Lepisosteus oculatus: one gene and its partners. The protein of the gene in region 1 binds, or shares a complex with, the protein of each later gene. Links are inferred from orthologs where the notes say so. Each region holds a gene or a part of one and is shown on either strand. Other genes may lie near its edges.

The links.
Region 2: mta3 (region 1) and cdk2ap2 share a complex: the UniProt entries of both Homo sapiens proteins name them as parts of the nucleosome remodeling and deacetylase (NuRD) repressor complex. The link is inferred for Lepisosteus oculatus from reciprocal best matches to the Homo sapiens genes MTA3 and CDK2AP2.
Region 3: mta3 (region 1) and cyclin-dependent kinase 2-associated protein 1 share a complex: the UniProt entries of both Homo sapiens proteins name them as parts of the nucleosome remodeling and deacetylase (NuRD) repressor complex. The link is inferred for Lepisosteus oculatus from reciprocal best matches to the Homo sapiens genes MTA3 and CDK2AP1.

Annotation. Positions count from the first base shown.
Region 1 is NC_090712.1:14,766,346-14,773,714, forward strand, and holds the start of mta3 (metastasis-associated protein MTA3), read right to left. Parts: upstream 3,081-7,369; 5' UTR 2,835-3,080; coding exon 2,807-2,834; intron 580-2,806; coding exon 512-579; intron 1-511. UniProt on the Homo sapiens protein: Acts as a component of the histone deacetylase NuRD complex which participates in the remodeling of chromatin.
Region 2 is NC_090701.1:43,944,081-43,951,394, forward strand, and holds the start of cdk2ap2 (cyclin-dependent kinase 2-associated protein 2), read left to right. Parts: upstream 1-4,304; 5' UTR 4,305-4,830; coding exon 4,831-4,885; intron 4,886-6,401; coding exon 6,402-6,502; intron 6,503-7,314. Other genes in the region: cabp4 (calcium-binding protein 4), read left to right, coding at 894-922. UniProt on the Homo sapiens protein: Acts as a component of the histone deacetylase NuRD complex which participates in the remodeling of chromatin.
Region 3 is NC_090717.1:7,570,774-7,577,923, reverse strand, and holds cyclin-dependent kinase 2-associated protein 1, read left to right. Parts: upstream 1-4,110; 5' UTR 4,111-4,228; coding exon 4,229-4,295; intron 4,296-5,331; coding exon 5,332-5,429; intron 5,430-5,623; coding exon 5,624-5,750; intron 5,751-6,408; coding exon 6,409-6,476; 3' UTR 6,477-7,058; downstream 7,059-7,150. Other genes in the region: sbno1 (protein strawberry notch homolog 1), read left to right, coding at 1-129, 466-608. UniProt on the Homo sapiens protein: Inhibitor of cyclin-dependent kinase CDK2. Also acts as a component of the histone deacetylase NuRD complex which participates in the remodeling of chromatin.

The DNA of each region.
Region 1 (7,369 bases):
GTACTTTTGAAAGGCACTACTGATGGTGCTACACTTAAGTGGGGGATAAAGTGAGTCCACTTCTGTATGTAATGCACTTTGGGATCTTTTGACATGGAAAGTCCTATAGAAACACAAGCAATAACAACATATTGCTGACATCTGTCAGTCACACAGGACTGAGAGTCAACAGAGAGATTACTTTCCATGATTTCCTTATTGCCAACACTTTCCCCAGGAGTCAACTTAAATGGTCAGATCGAATAATCCCTCAGCACAAAGGCAAAATGAATTACATGCAAAGATCAACCTTCACAAAATCCTTAACAACGATTAAAGTCCGCCCACCTCGGTATACAAGTAGGTAAAAATAAGATCAGTGACCATGAGCAAATACTGGTCTGTCAATTTTACCCAGTTCCCTTAAGAAATGTAAGCTTTTTGCTCCTTAAAGGTCATCCCCTCAAGGGTTTTACAAACATCCACTCCCACCCTGCTCTTGGTTCCAGCCCAGAAAAACACTGCAAAATACCTTGTTCAACTCTTCTATTCTTCTGATTAGATATGGGTTGCTTGAAGAGTTCTCAAAGAACACATAATCTGCAACAAAACAAACAGGGTTAGAGCTTTTCAAAAGAAATGTTTTTATTGTCAATATTTAACTTGTAAACAAATTATTTTTCTTTAACCTAGATTTACAATAATTACAGATTTACAGTAATGCAATGGATGTCTAATTTGCAAAATGAGGTTAACTTTTTAATTGAGTACTTAAATAAAACCAGAAGACAAAAGCCCCCCCAAGGAACAGAGTTTGAGACTCCTGCACTTTGATGCCTGAAGATCAATGCAGAGCAAACACAGAAGCATATGTGATAAATCTTTTTTTTAAAACTGAAAATAGAAATAAATTATAATTCTTATACAAATAATGCCTATGACGATGCTCAGTGAAAAGCATATCATTACTGTTGCAAAGGTGTTTGTAACACAGAAAGTGGCATATCGCATAACTTTAAACAACATTAACCCTGGTGCATTTTTCTCATACACAAAAAAGCTCCAGTAATGCCGCTCAAAATGCAGAATCCCACTGAATTAGGTACATATCCACAGTTATGCTGTTTTAGGTGATCATGCTAAAGAATAACATGATAAACACCCAACACAAGAGTTAAATCGACTTAAATGCTGAGTTTGCTATGTGCATGTATTTTTATTTATATATATATACCTGCATGTATATAACACGTATGTACAAATAAAAGCCTTAATGTCTAGAAAGGAGTGTTTGCTGGCAATGTCAGAAAAGGCAACATTAAGATACTTAAGAGGTTTAAGAGTGTTAGTTGGTCTCAGAGGAAATTAAGGAGCAGTAGGACCAGTTGCCATGGACAGGTGCAAGTATTTGCAGGTTTTTCCTGAGCTCCTACTTCCTAACCCTGAAATCAGCTTCTGGACTCAGTGTTTTTAGAACATCAGAGCTCATGGGAAAGCGTCCCTAGTGATCCAAGACAGCAGAATTAGGAAGAAGTAGAATTGAAAGATCTCCACACAACAACTTAAATAATTAAAAAAAAATAATCCATGGGTTATATTAAACCTTTACAATGTATAAACCAGATACAAATCTCTAAAATATTTTATATGCAATAAAAACAAACTGGATTGAAGGGCAAAAAAACATCAGAATGACTTGCTCAAGTGAATTTTAAATAACAGAATACAGGTCTATATCCATATATAAGTAATACGCACATATGTAATGTGGTTGTTTATTAGGTGTTGACATAAAAGTGCATATACACTACTGGCAGCTACGTCACGTTTTAAGACACCCAGGCCAGACACCTACCTATGTAAGGCCTAATTTAATTCAATACAAAGTACTCTTATTCTGATCATTCAAAAATAATAATAAAAAGAAGCCGGGACGATTTCAAAACAGAAAGCAAAGTTTTTATTGTATTAAGGACGAACTTCTCCAGTTACCTGATGACAAAGAAAAGATTGTCGTAAAAGATGCCAATATTTTTAGGTGTCACGTGACTGGAACATTCCCATACTTTGAAGCACAAAATTTCACACAAGACCAGTCTGATCGCACTAGCTTCGTTCAGTAATTTCGATATATTTTATTTACCTTGAAAAAAATAATGCGTGGTGGGGGGGGGGGGCAGAAAATTCCAGCCATTATGAAAAATGTTTTTTTTTATCCTAGCAACCGGAGTTTCAAAAACCGATAGACATTATTATAACATAGGAGACACTAAAAAGAACAACCACCTTTTTCCAGATTAATGACAGAAAAACACACTCTGGGACCATACGACTGCCGAATTGCAAGTCTTTGGATGTGACCGTGCATAATAAACCGTGAATGACTGATTTACGGACAGGGACCAATGGAGATCATTGCAAAGACAAGGGCATAAATACAAAGAAACACCCGAGAAACAATGGACGCACATCCAGAATATAACTGTAAAACTTACTTTCAACTTCACTCTTTGAACACTCAAGACCTTATATCACAATAGACGTTTACACGTGTAGGAAATGTATCAAAAATTGAAAAAGTATCAGATGGTGTTTGTTTTGGGAGTGCTGCTTTCAGTTTCTAATGGTTAGTTTTAAGGCCCGACCCAGATTTTAATCCCAAATAATTGAAAATTCCTGCTGCACCGGGCTCGCAAAAGACCTGCTTCCCGCAGCTTTTTGACAGGCACATTAAAACCGTACTTCTGCGAATATCTATTAATGCACACCCCGTCACGCTGAAAGAAATACCAACACTTTTGTAAATCAAAAATCTAGACTGACATACCTCCGACCCGGTACATGTTGGCCGCCATTTCTGCCCTCCTGGAGCGTGAAAAAAATAAAAAGGGAAAATCATAAACTACAAAATAAAATAAAAATAAATAAAAGAGTACCTATATATAAATATACCGCAATGAAATGGCGTGGTGGGGGGTGGGGGGGTGGAACGAGACTTGAGCGGGAGAGAGATTTAAAACAACCCCCCCTCTCCCTGCATACAGTACAATACAGCAACAAACACGCCGAAAGGCTTCAGATCAGCTCGGAGCCCTGTTTCCTGGTGGGGGTGGAGGGATGTGGGGGATTGGCGGGGAGGGCACAGACGGAAGGCGGTGCCATAGTGGAGCTCCGGTGCTGCGTCCACTCACAAGCCGCAGTTGTTCAGCGCTGGGCAGGAGTCTTGATGAAGTGCCTCACGACGGAGGTTATTTCACGTACTGTGGGTACTTACTTCCACGGAAATACCCGAAGGCAACTGAGTAGAAGGGGTTTAAAAACACACACACACCATTCATACATACACTCGTTGTTTGGGCTTTGTCTTGTGTGTCTGTGCCATGTTTTATGGAATAAAGTTTTTAAGCATTAAAAACACGTAGGTTACAAACCAGATTAGGCCTTTCCGTCCATTGTGGGTATTCTGCTGCTAAATTTGTGCCATCTCACCCTGCGGTTTCCTGAACCATACCTGGGGTTATGCATCAACAACATGGCTGGATCACCTGTTACACTCTCCTGCCGCCCTTTGTGTAAATAAATCTAAAATACTCTTGCTCTTTTTGCCATTCTGTTATACACTGCTGGAGAAGACTGTTGGGTTGCCTTAGTCAATCCCTTTCAGGAATTTGAATCCTTGAACCAAGTACCCTTGCATTAAACTCTGTTTATAGACTAAAAATATTCTGTTCCCTCAGTTTGCATATACACGGCTGTCTGTCTGTGCAGAACATGACATACCTCAAAAGTTATCCTGTAACCCGGTTGGGGTGTTAGGACATTTTGCGCACCCATGTGCATACGATTATGTAGCACTCTTTAAACTGTATCATTGCCATGTGAGTGTATTTAATGACCCTAATAAAGGTGTGTCTAGAATCCTGGATTTTTGTGAAAATTATTGAATTCAGATTAACAGAGAAAGGAAACTGAAAATCCCATGCCTAATAAAATACCACAGAAATAATGAGGAGGCAATAAGATAAACAGCTGGATTCAGCCTAAGCTTCACGATGACAGCCCTAATAAGGCCGTTCATTAATTAACCTGTTCAGATCACATCAGCAGGCTGTAATTGTTCTATCCGTAATCAATGTCTTTAATTAGACTGGAGTGCAGCAGAGATATGTCAATGGACTCAGTGGGAGACATGTTGCCAAGGGATTCTCCTGCATTCAAAGAGGTGCTAGGCAGCAGTTTTAGTTCCTCTCGATGTCATAACAATCAATGGCTGTATATTTCTATTAACGTCTACTGTATATGCAGAGATGAGGGTGGAACACTTCTAATCACAGCTTGGAGTGGCCCTGTTGTTAAAAGGCTGGCAGAACCCAATCAGATGCACAGATCCATTACCACTCAAACAGATTTGCTGGAAAGGGGATGGCTTGGGTCCTATTGGCAGCACGTTCTGCGACATTGCCTATGCTATTGCCTGTCTGTTTCTCAGTTAGAAAACAACATTGCTTTACAGAATTACAAGGGAAACTTAATTTCTTCTATGTCTAACAAATCTAAGATCATGTTTTAATTTAGGAGGTTGCAGCTGCCAGCTAAATCTTTTGGCCGAGACGATATTGTGTTGATCCAGTGATTTGGGTGTGTATGCAAGCTATCAGTGAACAGTACACTACAACAAGATTTCATATGAACACTGTGAATAAGACTTCAGCTGGAGCTGGTATGGTGAAGACAGTACATGTAGACAACTTAATGGTGACAGGTGACTAACAAAACAGAGAATAGAGTATACTTGACAAATTCAATTGGTTTGCTTAAGGCTTTACAGTCTTAAGGTTTTATATTACAAATGCACCTTATTTCTTATGTTTTTTTTTCTTTTTAATAAAATTCGATCTAAATATGTTAAAGAGATTGCTAGGTGTGAGTTCTTCACCATTTGGCTTTGAAAGAATGTTAAAATCCACGAGGCTCTCTAACATATCAGGAGACTGTATGTTTTATGGTCTGATTACTTTTTATTCTGTGTTCTGAGCTGTTTAGTTTTGAACGGTCCTGTCCATCGGCCCATGATGTCATACCTAAATGGCATTAAAAGGTATGCACCCATTCCTGCACTGTTGGAGCTCCATCCCTAGACTTACATATCTGGAACCTCCAGCATGTGGAAATACACCCATCAAATCAGTGGCCTCTTGCTTTCATAGGAAGAAAAATCCACTGAAAGAATCTGTTGTAGCACCAAGGGTTCTGTAATTTGCCAGTATAGTACTTTATTCACAACGGCCAAAGTGAACAAACAAATAATATTTCAATACATTACTGAATCCCATGGCCTCTGAATAATAGAACATGTGCTGTTTGAGTGCAGAACATTCAACGTGCTATCTTCAGTGCTTTCATCTTTTATTGAGAGGACTTTTGAAAAATTAATTGTTCAGTGATTTACCATTTCATAAGCACAGCAATTTGCAATAATATGCTAGTGTTTATTTTGATCACCTTGAAAGCTGCTCTGTATTTTACATATACAAAGTAAAATGCACTGCATTTGCCACTTTCTAATATTTATTGTTTAAAGAAAACTTAGAAAAGTCAAAATTAAAATATACATCCTTCATGAACAAAATGTAGAAATATAGAAAACAGTGACCAGATCTACTTTAAAATGAATATGGTCCACGTGTAAGTGTCAAAGAATTAAATAAGTCTGTTTGGAGTAGTTACACATTTATTGCAGCATGTATCATATATCACAGAACCCACACATAGAGACAACAAAAACCACAATCTATCTGAAAACAAAAAACTAAAGAAAACCCCTAGAAACACAGGATGAACATGCAAACTCCACACAGAAGGATGGCCACACAGGAATTGAGCCCAGGACTTAAGATCTGTATAGCAGCAGCACTAACCACCACACACTGTGATACTGTACACACCAATTCATCCACTTGTCTTGGTAAGCCTAGTGATACTACTGTACACTGAATCTAATCACCAGATAATAATAAGTAATAGTAAATAATACATCTCTAATCACAAAAAGTTAAATAGCTATATAACCCTGCAACCCACAACTGACCACTCACTTAAGCTCAGCAGTTGTGAACCTGGCCAATACCTGGATGGGAGACCTCCTGGGAAAGATAAGGTTACTGCTGGAAGAGGTGTTAGTGGGGCCAGTACAGGGGGCTCACCCTGTGGCCTGGGTCCTAATGCCCCAGTATAGTGAAGAGGACACTGTACTGTGGGGAAAAAAGGCACCGTTCTTCAGATGAGATGTAAAACCGAGGTCCTGACTCTCTGTGGTCATTTAAAAGTCCAGGACGTTTCTTGAAAAGAGGGGGTGTGCCAAACTTCCCCCTGGTCTTTACCTACAATGGCCTCCTAATAATCCCTATCTATGAATTGGATTCATTACTGAGTTCAGTCATGTCCACTGAGTACTACTGTGAGGCAGGGGCGTAGCCACGGGTGGGCCTGGGCGCATACCCTTAGTGTTTACAGAGCTAAAATACATCCAAAGTATGTATGTGCGCTTTTATTAGCAGACCATTCTTGCAATTAAAGGTACGACTAATTGGTTAGCACTGTAATGCGACTATAACAATTCAGTGTCAAGTCTTTTAGGAAGTCACGGATTTCCAAATTAGGTGTCTTTTGGCATCGAAAATAGAATACTAATTTAATGGGTTTCATACACGTTTAAAAGCATCATGAAGGATCAAACAAGCCCATTTTCACTTGTTGCTTATAACAGTTCTAAGTATTTCTTATGCCCGCTTATAGATTGTTCAATAGTTTTACGAGTTACTCTGAAGTTAATATTTTGTTGCACCACACAATGAACACAACGCAAAACGCAAGATTCAAAATCCGTCCGAAATATTGTATTTAAAATACCATGCAGGGTTTACCTCGAGCTTCTTCTGGTATGTTATGCTCAAGTCCGCTGAATATTTAAAGGCAAGGTAAAAGCTCCGTGACGTTGGTCCCACTACAGACAGCACAAACGATGAAACCCACCTCATTCGTTAGTGCTACGTTTGTGCCTGTTGGTACCGTTGAAAGTAGCGTTTGTGCTGCTTTCGTTCCCGAGATAAAGCACCTTGTTTTTCCGCTGATCACGTGACCATGCACGGTGACTTTGACCTCCAGTGACCCCGTCTGCCGAGTTCAAGCGCGCTGTTACAGTTTAGCTCGTACCCTTAACATTTTAAAGACAATCAATATCCATAAACATATAGTCTCCTTAAAATAATGGCAACAAGTTAACCAATGACATAAACCTGTGGTTGTAATGTCTGTAAAATCACCGTGATTGTAAGATCTATGGTTTTTATTTTCTAAGGCACGTTTTCCTTTTCTTCCCCTACCTTGACAC
Region 2 (7,314 bases), on another chromosome or scaffold:
TGCCATCCCTAACTGTGGTAATTGACGAGCATCTGGGCAAACACTGTGTCCTGCAGTCCACCGACTGTGCTTGAAGACTCTGATCAGAGAGAGGAAACAGGGACTAAGAACACTGACCGCTAAATGCAAGCTTACAATTCAATACAGCCCCCGACTCCTGCTGCCCCACAGCCACTCTTGCCACTTGGTGACACAAGCCCAGCCCAAGTAGGGGCACAGAGCCCTGGGTTGTTATCAGAGTCCTGAAATCACCCCCTTGCACGACGATCAGACAAGAGGACACAGCCCTCAGAGCTGTGCCGGAGGTTGCAGCTGCCTAGAAATCGATGCACATTGTTTTGCGTTTTCACTTCGGATGAGTATTGATTTCTTTGACGACGCAGCCTGTGTGTTCAGCACTGAGCACAGCTGTGGTGCCGGGTCTGTGCAGGGGGAGCCTGGCTCCAGAATGCACTCCCATGCTGACACAGAGCTCAGAGGGGCAGGGCAGCAGACACACCTGCTCTTTCTTCCGTGCAATGCGAGTCCTGTATTTCCCCCTGGAGCTTCTCCAGCCCGGTGCTGATCATGTAGAAGGCAAGGTCGGTGCCACTTTGTCCCCGGTGTTGCCATGACAGCAGCATATAGAACGATGGGGTGTTTTGGTGTTCCCTCTGTGTGGCAGAGACAGGGGGTGTTTGAAAGGTGACAAGGGTTGCAGGGACACACGCAGGCGGAGACTCTGAGTCTCTGAGATTCATAGAGACACGCAGATACACTCACAGGTAAAGACACACACAGACTCTAATAGAGCCTCAGAGGGTCACACAAGCCCACAGAGATAGATTCACAGAGACTCCCAGCGATCAGAGACGGTTCCGCTAACTTTGTCCCCCGTCTCCCGCCTTCCACAGAATTTGTCATGATGCTGTCGTCGCGGTGATGGAGCCTCGGGATTGGATCCCTGGAGTCCGTGCAGGTCACTCCTCCCCAGAGAGAGTCAGTCCCCTTCCCCTCTCCCACAGCTCGGAAGTCCCGCTCACTGCCTGGGTCCCGATGTCACCATGACTCTTCATTTCCTGTCGCCCAGATCTCCCCAGTGTCCTGCTCCCCCACCTGTCTGAAGGAATGAGCTGCTGTTCTGTGGGTGATCTGATGTCTCATGCTGCTCTCCCTGACAGGAACGTTGTGATCTCTCCATGGAGAGGTCCCTGTCCACTGTTTCGTAGTAATGAAAAGCTGCCCTGTAGCGATCCGATGTCTGGTCCTTCTCTCCAACAGGAACAGTGAGATCTCTCCTTAGAAACTCTGGGTTTACACTATGTCCACAGTTTTCTAGTAATGAGCTGCTGCCCTGTGGTGATCCGATGTCTGGTCATGCTCTCCAAGGGGAACAGTGAGATCTCTCCACAGAGCCTTGGCGCCTTTGTCCACTGTTTCCCAACAATGAGCTGCTGCCCTATGGTGATCTGATTAACCATTCCTGCTCTCCCACAGGAACAATGTGATCTCTTCACAGAAACTTGGGTCTTTGTCCACAGTTTCCCGGTAATGAGCTGCTGCCCTGTGGCGATCTGATGCCTGGTCATGCTCTCCCACAGGAACCGTGAGATCTCTCCTTAGAAACCCTGGGATTATACTATGTCCACAGTTTTCTGGGCTGCTGCCCTGTGGTGATCTGATGTCTGGTCATGCTTTCAAACAGGAACAGTGTGATCCGTCTGCTGAGCTTCGTCATCTCTGTATTTGTTTCATATTAGATGCCTGTTTACCGGTAAGGGCTGTGTTAGAGGCAGGATGGCCTGCTCTGTTTTAAAGTCAGATCCTTTTATTACTGAGGATGAGAGAGTTGAAGACAGTAATTGTTATTGTATATCTGTGAATCTGTACAATGCCTCAGAAATGTACGTACAATGCATAATGATTTTTGTGAGTGTGTACTACAATAATAAATTAGATATTTGTCAGTCTCTTTTAGAAAATGTGTCTAACACAATCTATGACAACAAACCCATGGTATAACAACAATCGTGAGTGGCAGAAGACAGAACATGAGGTTATACACACAGGGACATATGTTACCTATTTGATCAAATAAACATTTAAACATTGTTGTGTAGGAAGGAAGAAGCACTGCATGTTTCCGCTAAACGATTCAGCAAAGTGAAAACACATCATTAGAATCTGATGTTCATGAGCCTATCTTGCAGCTGCTGTTTGAGACAGCACCATAGAGCAAACTGAAAAAATTTAGTATGAAGGTAAGAGTTCTCTTGAGACTGTGCGAAGCACCTTAACAAAACAGTCTGACATTTATGATGTTCAACTGACATGCTTTGACAATTGTTTTACACAGGAAACTGTATTCCACACCAGCCTCTTCACTATTGAGAGCTCATACTAACACCTGTATTAACATTGGAACATAAGAATATTTACATATGACAGGCCGTGTGACAGCTGGAGGAACTAAACCTCGTTAGTGTGAAGGGAGTGTCCCACACTGACAGGCTGAAGGAACTGAATTTCTAAAGTGTTGAACATAGAAGACTATGATCATTCCTGAAAGGCATCAACAAAATCAATCCAGCAGATTTCTTGAGAATGACCAGTGAAACATGAACTAGAACTACTTTGCTTTAAAAGTGCAAATAATGTTTTAGCATATCACCAGTACATCAGTTGGATACACGTTATAAACAAAACAAGATGACCTCTGCACTGTCTGGCAGGACATTAAACCAAAGGGCCTAAGTGAATATCTATGAGGGGCACAAATCCATCCAGGTGGATGGAATTAGCAAAGAGACCTGTGAAATGTGTTTTTTACTGTTTTTGAAAAGTATTATTTCTTCTCCCAACTTAATGATCGGTAGCTTACTCCAGGAACTGCAAATACCAACTTGTGTGGTCGCGAACTCTGGTAGAAAGATGCCAGTCAACACAGCAGCAGGTCCAGGTGGAACCTGTGGCTGAACACTAAAGTATTGTCTGAAGAGCTGAGGGGAGAGAGTCAGCAGCTGTTCCAGCTCTCTGTAGACACTGGCACCGGCCCTGCTGTTTGGACACACGCCACAGCTCTACCTGCTCCCAAGAAGAACAGACTAAAAGCTCTCAATGCCTTGAGGCCGATAGCTCTGGCTCCATTAGTGATGCAGACTCTTCATTAATAGATACTGTGTGGCTGCTGTTGTTGAGTCATCTTATTCCTCCCAGCTGAAATCGTGTCTGAAATCGTCGCGGGCAGGGTTAGTAGCAGTCAAAGTTGCCGTATGTGGTCATGTGATCACCCCCAAATCAAGGCGCTATATCTCAGGAAGGAAAGCAGCTGGGAAGTCACTTTCAACGGCACAAACCGGCACAAACGCAGCACTAACTGAGCAAGACCGGTCCGGTTCTCCTGCGCCGTTTTGGGGCTGAGTGACGTCACACCCCTAAATAAGAAGGCGCTATATCGCGGAAACAAAAACGGCACAAACTCAGCACTAACGCACGAGGAGGGTTTCGTGGTTTGTGATGTTTGTGGGGGTGGCAGCTACACGGAACTTTACACCAGCACTGCTTTCTGCTGAAATTGCCGCTTGAGGATGAGTAAACTGAATGACACCCTCTCATTCATAAACATATGTATAGCGTGTAAACGTATAAATGTATGTTCCTGCGCTGTATTTAATCTGTATCATCTATAAGGGCGGTGCGGTGGCTCTGTGGCTGAGGATCTGTGGCTGGAAGGTTGCCGGTTCGAATCCCACAGTTGGCAGAGGAATCCTACTTTGTTGGGCCCCTGAGCAAGGCCCTTCACCCCAACTGCTCCTGGGGTGCTGTATAAATGGCTGACCCTGTGCTCTGACCCCCAGCTTCTCTCCCTGTCTGTGTGTCTCATGGAGAGCAAGTTGGGGTCTGTGAAAGGTCAAAGTCCTAATAAAATAAATTGTATATGGCCTATAAAATGATCTTATCTTATCTATATAAAACTTTTTAAAGTATATATTTTATGGTTGTTCCCCTATTTTAAAAAAGAATGCTGTCTCTTTAAATGGTGCAGTTAAAGACCAGAGAGAACAAGCCTTCAGTAATGAAAGGTCGGGAGTTAAGAAATACCATTCCCATAGAGCTCTGCGACCCCATCTCGCGTTTATAAGAAAACCGCCGTGTACCTCGCGCTCATGGGAACTGTAGTTTTCCTTTGTTTGGCCCTGGCAGTGGACGGACTGCAGTGGCGATAGTGACGACGTGGGCGGAGCATGAGGGGTGGGAATATGTCAGCCAATCGCTGCTCTTGACTTGTGCGCGTCATCGTTTTTTCGCAGACGGACCACGCCTCCCCGGGAAGAGCCCGGTGCAGGGCACGACGGGACAGGAAGCGCTGGCAGGCCGGTGTGGACGGCTGGTTTCCCGACGATCGCTCTGCTCCGCTTTTTATTACTGCTTTATTTAATTTCATTCTGCAACAGAGCGGGGAGCTGCACAGCTATACAAATCCACAAACATACCACACAAGGGAAGCGCTCTGGAGTTTTGAAAGAAACGACTTTAAAAAAAAAACCCAAAACAAAATCGAAAAGCTCAGGTTCTCTTCCTTCTTTTTCTCCGAAACACAACTCGGCGGCGCTTCCCGGTTTGAAATCAGCTTTAAAAAGCCGAGATCCGCCATTGATCCGCCTCTGTCCGCATAAAGCGCGTTCCCTCCCGGTCGGGATTAAACTCCGCTCCTGAGCCCAGACTTCTGCTCTCCTCTGCTCCGTTTCCGTGCCCTCCGCGCCCGAGTCCCCCGTGGGAGGTCGGCGTGTTTCGCCTGTGGACAGACAGCGAAGACCGGCGGAAGTCCGAGCGGCGCAGCGACCTGACGCTATGAGCTACAAGCCCATCGCCCCGGCTCCCTCCGGCACCAACCACACTCCCCCCGGTGAGAGAGACGCGCTGCCAGTGTGATTGCGTGTAAGAGTGAGAAACGGGGCACAGGCTGCCCTCTCGGGGACCACACGCCCGCCTCCAGGTTCTTCTGAGAGTCGGGGTGAGACTCTGCACGCCAGACCCCACTTACCCTCAGCCCCGCACTGCTGTGTTCGTGCCCCTCAACAGCTGTTTGGGTTAAACCGACAACGATGCGTTCGGTATTTATTGCCCATTCCCAAGCGATACGTGATCTCCTTCTGTCCGGAAGCGTGCTGGGGTGTCCAGTCACTAGAATCTCGTTTCCCCTCAGAGCCAGACCCGGCGGGTGAGCTAGCCTGCTTTCCTGGTGCAGTCGCCTGAAGAAAGCTGGACCGTGGTCCTTTCCTCGCACAAGAACCCGTAACACTGGTGCTGTTGTATATGTCCACCTCTTCTCCACTGATCGCACAACTACACATAATCATCTCTCAGGGTCCGAGCAAAATCCCTGCCTGCGTACCTTTCTGGCTCACCTGGAATCTGACAAAACTTCACTCTGTTACTCAAACTGAGCTGACTATATCTGAACATGGGGTACTGGCGCGTCTGTATTCCTCTCTCAGTGTGTCTGTACTGTATTAACCCCTCTCTCTCAGTGCAGTGTTAATGTACTGGAGTGTCCAGTCAGTGTGTCTGGACTGTATGAACCCCTCTCTCTCAGTGCAGTGTTAATGTCCTGTAGTGTCCAGTCAGTGTGTCTGGACTGTATTAACCCCTCTCTCTCAGTGCAGTGTTAATGTCCTGGAGTGTCCAGTCAGTGTGTCTGGACTGTATTAACCCCTCTCTCTCAGTGCAGTGTTAATGTACTGGAGTGTCCAGTCAGTGTGTCTGGACTGTATTAACCCCTCTCTCTCAGTGCAGTGTTAATGTCCTGGAGTGTCCAGTCAGTGTGTCTGGACTGTATTAACCCCTCTCTCTCAGTGCAGTGTTAATGGACTGGAGTGTCCAGTCAGTGTGTCTGTGCTGTATTAACCCCTCTCTCTCAGTGCAGTGTTAATGTCCTGGAGTGTCCAGTCAGTGTGTCTGTGCTGTATTAACCCCTCTCTCTCAGTGCAGTGTTAATGTCCTGTAGTGTCCAGTCAGTGTGTCTGGACTGTATTAACCCCTCTCTCTCAGTGCAGTGTTAATGTCCTGTAGTGTCCAGTCAGTGTGTCTGTACTGTATTAACCCCTCTCTCCCAGTGCAGTGTTAATGTACTGGAGTGTCCAGTCAGTGTGTCTGTACTGTATTAACCCCTCTCTCTCAGTGCAGTGTTAATGTCCTGGAGTGTCCAGTCAGTGTGTCTGGACTGTATTAACCCCTCTCTCTCTGTGCAGTGTTAATGTACTGGAGTGTCCAGTCAGTGTGTCTGTACTGTATTAACCCCTCTCTCTCAGTGCAGTGTTAATGTCCTGTAGTGTCCAGTCAGTGTGTCTGTACTGTATTAACCCCTCTCTCTCAGTGCAGTGTTAATGGACTGTATTAATCTCCCACTTTATTTCTCTCAGGTTCCAGTGTTTCCTCTCCATCCTCCTCTCTTCCTGGTTCCTCCTCCAATTACAGGCCTCTCTTCAATGACTTCGGTCCCCCATCCATGGGCTACGTGCAGGTACGGTCCTGAAACACAGGACACCTTGTGATTCTCACTCAGCTGTAACAGATACTCCATGTCAAGGATGGGCCCTAACCTAGTCCTAATCCTCCGTGGTCTGTGTGCTGAACACACACAGGTCCTGGCCTGAACACACACTGCAGTAAGGATGGGTGGAAGTGTTTGAAATTTAGGTACAAATCTACAGTGGCAGACCAAGTCACGGTTCTTGGTTTCAGAAACAACAAACTGTGAAGGAACTGAATGTTTCTGGGGATCCGCAGCTCACTTGCCTGTTCACAAAGAGAGAGTTAAAGGACTCGGATGTGATTAGTATTTCCTATGTTTTTGGTTTGGAAATTACATTTTTTTAACATCCAAATAAGCATTGTTTTGGATTTCTTTATTCATAGGCCTCTGACATAGTGAGCGATTTACAAAACAACAATTTGTAAATTTTTGTAGCCTCTCCAGCAGCAGTGGAGCAGCAGCAGTCTCAGTGAAGCAGTGAGTGACGTCACGCAGGTCTGTGTCTAGTTGACTAGTTACGAGGTAGACTACTGGGGAAAGGTTATGCGTTTACTGAAGGCTTTATAAAGGAAAATGTAGGTCTCTCTTTATCTGATGACTAGGTTAGTGTGCTCTGGGTTCCTGGGGAGTCCAGTGACATTATAACTCTGAGTTGTGCTGACCTGAACCCTGGTTTCACAGTTAATCCAGAAGTATTATAACAGGGCACAGCAAGATATGAGGTCCCCCTGATGGAAGGATATGAGGGGTCACTAGGATCCTTTGGTGGGCAGGTTAGGGTACAGAGATAGGGTCCCCAC
Region 3 (7,150 bases), on another chromosome or scaffold:
ACTATGTCCTGTGTGGATCGGTGCTCAGTGTTTGGACTAAAGTAGAGGGCGTTTTAGCGTCGGTCAGTGGAACCAATGTGAAAATGCAAATCGTTCGTTTAAGAACTGAGGATGGACAAAGAATCGTTGGTAAGTGATGATAAAGTTCCCTCATCCCCACCCCCATGCAAGTCATCAGGAGGCCCCTGTTTACAAGCTTTAGCCCAGTGCTGTTATTTCATTTTGTTTTTATTATCTGTAAGTAGCATACAGCTGTTTATTATAACTAAAAGTTCATATGTTTTGGGCTTATTTAAATTTGGTTCAGGGTTTGCCTACCTAATTAACAAATGTGATTAGTAGTTAGGGTACGATTGGGTAGTTTGCTTTAAGGAAATAATACTATTAGTCTCTTAAGCGTCGGTGCTTCCTTCTACTGTAAAACTATCCAAGACCAATAATTTTTTTAATGTTTGTCATTGACAGGTTTGATCATTCCAGCAAACTGCGTAGCCCCGCTGATAAACATCCTGTCCTCGTCAGACCAGTCTCAACAACTTGCTGTCCAGCAGCAACAAATGTGGCAACAGCTTCACCCACAGAGCATTAACGCCTTCAGTAACACATAGCACCCAGCGTGGACTGGACAGTGGACTTAATGTGTTACATTTAAGAACATGCTCTGTGAGCACATTGTGAGGCAGTCAGAAGGAAACATTCAGGGTTCTTGTCCAAAGAATTTTCTTTCATTAGAAGTTCACTGGAACATTCAACACCTCGCACTTCAGTTCAGAACTGAAGAGACCTCTGTGAATTTCTGGAGGAGAAATGTTGAAACAGATAAAATATTTCTTCCTCTTTTTTTCATAACGTTTCATGTGCTTTCTACTGGCTTCTGGTCATAATTACAGGTTTGTTCTGTATCTTCTGCAAGTGGAGTGCTTGAACTTTATGACATATTACAGTGCTCAGGGGTTAGTTAAAGAAAACAATCACTTTTTTTAACTCTGATATGCTGAGAATATATATTGAAATGCATGTCACCTCCCCCTCATGTTCCTTAATGTGTTGATGCATACATTGTACAAAGCATGGAATTGCAAGTTTACTACACTGCATACAAATGTTTCCTGTTCCTTTCATTTAGTGTACCTTATATTCATGCTTATGAAAATGGTTCTCAAGGTGTAAATTCCTTTTAAGACCATGTTCACCACAGGGTTCAACATGCTAAAATTGTGACCTTGCATGATTTTAAAAAAATATCATCCCTGTTTTCCCTTTGTGGTTCACTTTAGAATAAACATTTCTTTAATCATAGCTAATTTAAACAAAAACATTGGACTTGCAGAATGGCTAGTCATTGATCTTCAATAGTATGTTCATGAAGGTATATACTACCTTTTGTTCTTAAAATCCCCAAGATATCAGTCTGTAAACTGGAATGTCATTTACATTAAGGCCACTTCAACCTTGTCTGGTCTTGATTTATATTTTTTAATTTTCTATTTACACATTTTAATATTTGCTGTCTCTTGAAACAGATCTGATGCATTTAATTTCAGGACGGGACACAAGACTCTTTATAAAAGCTTTTCATTTGTGCTGTAAATGTTATAAGATCGAAAATGTTTCTCTTAAACTGGTATGGATATTTTGCTGTACAAATGTGTATAGTTACATATCTTAAATATGAATTGTTTGGCTTATAAGTAAAATTGATGTTTATAAGATATTGAAGGACAATGTCATTTCATGCTTGCACGAGTTGCACTACTGACAGATTTCATTGTATATTGAAATTAAATCTGTTTAAATTACATTGCTGCAAGATTAGGACATCTTGCATATGACCAATAAATCTAGAAAAACTTTGTGAGTTGTGGCTTGTGTCTAAGAGAATTATAGGAAAAAACTTTTTTGCTTCTTGAAAGTGTTTCAATTTGAAACATTCATTTTATACTTGGTTCTGTGCTTCAGATTAATTTTCCTCATGATGGTTTTCAATGGACATGACCAGAATGTTTTAGAGCAAGCTTGATTTTTTTTAAAGAACATTTTGTACCTCATACAAATGGCATGATTAGTCAAGTGTTTTTTAGAGCAATTTGCTGAATGAGGCAGGTTAGTTTTTTTTATTTTTGTTTCTACTCTTTATTTCTAAAAAGGTATAATGTTTTCTTCTGTACTTCAATGGAGGGCTCAGGTTCAGCAACTTCTGACTGCAAGCAAATGGGTTATTTTTAATTTGTCTGCTGAGAACTAAGAAAATAATCAAAGACTATAGGAAGATGAGATGCAGTTTGCTGCATGCTGATTACCTGATGAGATTAATCAATGAAAGCTACACATTCTTTTTCCAGGCTTGATTGTGATTGATTATGGAATCTGATTGTTTCTATTGCATAATGTATATGACCACATAAGGATTAAATTGTAATTATATTTTGTTGGAGAAGGATCTACAGCATATTGCTCAGGACTATTGGTTGGGGATCTCTTCCACTAGGAATCACCTCATGGAGTGTTTTTCAAGAGCCAAAAGCCAAACCTTCTTGGTTTGGGATTTCTGTTGCACAGAGATTTAAACACTTTTTGCTTTAGTCCTACTGCAAAATCCTGTTTTATGTAAAAAAGTAAATGGATCTACATTTGAGTTCAGTTATACTTTATGCAGTTTACACAAAAATAATAATCTTAAGGTCTATGTACCAAATAAATTTTATTTTTATCAAGTTTTAGATTCCTTGGTAAAACCTGGTATTTGCCTGATAATCCTAACTATAATGTGCTCTCATTGTTCCATACCAGGCCATTCCTAAAATTAACACTTGAATGTACATTATATTTGACTCTATAGTTGACTATTTCTCCTGTTGCTTCACACAGTCAATGGGTTATTTTCAGCTGATGGCCATCCTATTGTGCATGACAATAGCAAATCGTGGCCGTGTATAAACCAGGCTTGTGGACAGGCTCCGGCAGTTTGGGTGGTGAAGAGAGAATGCTTTTGTAAAAAATCTGGCCAGGAGGCTGTTTAATTTTGAAGATGAGCCCACAATCCCCCCATTCTCACACCCCCCAGTTAGGTGCGGAGCACGGAAAACGGTGGAACATGCGTCTCGACAATAGGCAGACAAAGTACAGTGCTAGGCATTCACGAACTCGCGCCATACGTCACTCCTGCTACCCATGGAAAAAATTAGCATTCACTTCGCTCATGTCGTGGGGTGCGAAACGTGGGCGGGGGAGGGGAGCGTGTTACACGATAGGAAGAGGTTAAGAATGGCACGCGTCCCCATTGTCAGACTTAGAAGTTCCTATGGCTGCCTCGTGCTTTTTAGATTTTTATATGCATCTTATATAAACTCATACATTGTATGAGCTAAGTAAACCGCTTATTTTCTAAACGTATTGGGTACGTTAAGCAAAATATGCGGGAAAATAGACCACCTTGTTGTTTTTAACTACCGCTTCCAGACAAACATTTAATCATTTTTGTCTGGAAAAGGAAATTATTGTAATTATCGCAACCCTTTCCTACCATGCATTCTCGATCTAGGTGGTAAAATATTACGACTAAAGTATTTACAGTATGTTCTCTAAATCTATGTGAGGCGGCGGGAACGCATTTTTCTTCCTTGCTTTAAAAGTAATTGCAATTATTAAAATATCAAAAAGTTATTGTTGCACGTTGATGAATAAAAAAAAAACACCTCGTCCCCTTAGTTTTTTAAATTAAAAATACATCTAAAAAAATACGATGGGGTTCTTCCTAAAACCTGTGATTGAATTTTTTTTTTAGAAAGTTTAAAACTTTAATTTGAAGTATAGCTGACGAAGATAACCCATCCGTTATCGTAAGAGTTGCTACGAGCCCGATTAAAGCAAAAATAAAAGTTTCAAAGTTTGACGTGGTCAGTAACCTGATAAAAAAAAAGCCAGGGTTCGGCAAATAATGTTTTTTAAAAAGCGTTGTTTTAAAATAGATTACGACCTCAAAAATATGAAATCTCTTTTCAAAACCGAATTTTAATCGCCGCGGCGTTTCCATATGAGTTTTGGGTCTGACCTCCTCGCTTTTGGTCAAATTGCCATAAATTTCCCATTGTGATGATAGATTGCATTGTGGGTGTCAATATAAAGTGACGGCCATATTTGCCGGTGCGGCTGCTGTAAACAAAAAGTGTCTGAGAGAGACAGAGACGCTTCAGTGAATTTCAGGACATTTTTATTTCTTTAATTTATAATGTCTCTGGGAATGTCTTACAAACCCAACCTCCACCCGCACATTCCTGGGACTTCCGTGAACCAAGGTAAGGCTGAAATATCCGCGAATTCTCCACTGAATCACTGTTTTATTAGATGCAAAATCCGCTGTTATAATGAATACCTGGGGAAAGCCCGTGTCTGTAGTTTTTGTCCAGTTATATATATAGGGTCAGATCCTGAGAGCTGATTCATATCCGCCATTATTACTAATCATAAAAGCTTTTTTTTTTCCGCATCCGCAAAGTAGAGAAACGGAGGTTAACTCTTCGCTGGGGACCGGGTTTGCGGTAGCCGATACCCGCTTTTGTTCGCACGGATGCTGGAAGAGTGTTATAAAAAATGTATCACTTTGGCTTCTTAAATCAGCCCGTTCGGTATCCTCCATGATTGTCTCCCCAGGGCCGATGATTGATCTGGATCAGGAATGTTCTTTTTTTACGCTCTGGGGACACCTAGCGTTCAAAATGGCTTACTGCACGGAAGGCTTACATGAATTGAATGCCTGTAGTGTAGGTGACCGAGAGAGACTCAATTGCCTAAAAAAAAATCACCTCTGAAATACGGAATACCAGCCGAAACGTTGTGTTTCATTTCTTCTCTTTTCAGCACGGAATAAACCTGACGCAGCTACCTACTCGCACCTCTGAAATGTGTTTTTCTAAATTCTAAATAATAATGATAAGTGTCCAAAATTCTCAGAAGCTACGCCAGTACGCACATACAATTGTTTCTGAATTGTATGTGCCACCAATTACCCCGCGGTGCGACGCAGCAAATATACAGAGGCTATCTCACTTTAAAATATAATTAAGAGATTACATATAATTTGAATTCTAATGAAGTCTTACGAGTAGCATTGACAATTGAAACTGTCACGATTTTGCCTTGCGAAATGTAACACAGTACAGTTTAGAGCGTTCACATCTGCAAGCAGCAGCGAATGTAAATCAAGTACAACACAACGTGCCCTGGCTGGAGTTGTTCTTCTGTGTTTCGGGGGGTGGGTCTGGGGTGTGTGGAGGAGCTTCAGAAATGAGAAACGATTCCTTTTGACCTCATTGTCCGTCTCTTTTCCTCCAGTCGGGAATGTCCACTCTCCTTCCACGAGCTTAGCCACACTGCAGTCTTACCGGCCACTGGTGAATGACTACGGGCTGCCATCCTTGGGATTTTCACAGGTAATTTTAGCTCGATCAAACCACCTGGTGGTTAGTCTAACTGAGGCGGAGGTCGTGCCAAGAGAGGCTGGTGAGCAATTCCGTTCGCTCTCCGTGGGCACAGATGTTGCCAGTCCCTTGCAGATGCCCTCTGTGTGGTCAGTGAATTGCCCTTTCTAAGAGGACTCAGCCCAGGAACTGTTCTCCTCTTGCAGGGGACCAGCGGAAATCAAGTGCCTCAAAGTAAATATGCAGAACTCCTAGCCATCATCGAAGAGCTGGGCAAAGAAATCAGACCGACGTATGCTGGGAGTAAAAGTGCCATGGAGAGACTAAAACGAGGTAATTAGTTTTGTTTAAGTGAGTCATTGAATCTATTATACCTTAATCAGCCAACTACATCACAGTGTACTTTGGCTCCGTTTTCAGCAGGTTTTAATCCCGATACAAAACAGCATTCATCTTCCGGGATGCATCTTACTGTGTAAATATAAACAGGTGATCTGTAGTCGCATGCAAACTTCTGACTACTGCAGCCACTACACAAAGTGGAGATGGAGAGAACCACCCAAGGCTCAAGTCCAATATTTTCCCAGGCTCTTAAAACATAAGAGTGGATACAAGCGAGGGGAGGCCGTTCAGAAGATGTTGCCTGTTTTGATAGTTAGTAGGTAATTGTTCCAGCTCATCCAGCTTGTTCCATACCCCCACCAACCTTTTTGTAAAGTTTAAAACTCATTTTCACTTAGTTTGCCCTTGTGTCCTCTGGTTCACGTTGCAGTTCTCCAGTTCTCTCTGAAAAAGTCTGCTGGGGTGGACTGTGGCAGTGTCCTCAAGCATTTCATATGCTTTCTTACGGGGTCCCCTAGTCGCCCTCTCTGTTCAAGGCTAGAGAGATTCAGTCCCTCGGCCTGTCGGTGGTGTACAGTATAGTGACATGATGGCAGGGGCCCTTGAGCGAGCGAGAATGATGACGTGTTGTTTTTCTTTCTTTTCCAAGGGATCATTCACGCTAGAGGACTGGTACGCGAGTGCTTGGCGGAAACGGAGAGAAACGCCAGGTCCTAACCACGGGAACAATGCTTTCACACAGAAACCCTGAACAGCATCTCGCAACCCTGCCTTCTAATCATTCTCTTTTCAGGAAAGCCAGATAGCTTTCCAGGAAAGCCAGATAGCTTTCCAAATAATAATAATAATAAAAAACTTTTGACGTCTGGCCTGAAGAATGCAGAAACGAAAGCTAAAAGACCAGTATATAAAACTATACTTGACATGAACCTCTTCAAGGGTTCTTTATTCTTTTTTTTTCCATAGGGGGATTTCTGATTCTTTCTTGACTGCTTATATATAAAAAAAAATAAAAAAAATAAATAAAAATCTGATGACTTTGCATGCATGGTAGCAAGTGCTCCCAATTAAAATTTAAAACTGCATGGCTTGTACAGATTTAGACTGTAGCAAGGGACATTTTAAGATGGAATAGGGCCTAAGATTCAATATTTTTAACACACTAATACTTAGGAGACTGAGAAAAGGATAGTGCCAAATACACCACACACCGGATTTGGATAAACTATTGTAATAAAGCCATTATTTGCATCTTTGTATGTATTTATTACTCAGTGTAATAAAACTTATTTTCATTAAGACCTGCTGTGTTGAGAGATTCATTTCTGTAGGGTACCATTGCACAACTGCAATTCTGTATCTAAACAGACATAAGATATCATTCAGCTGAG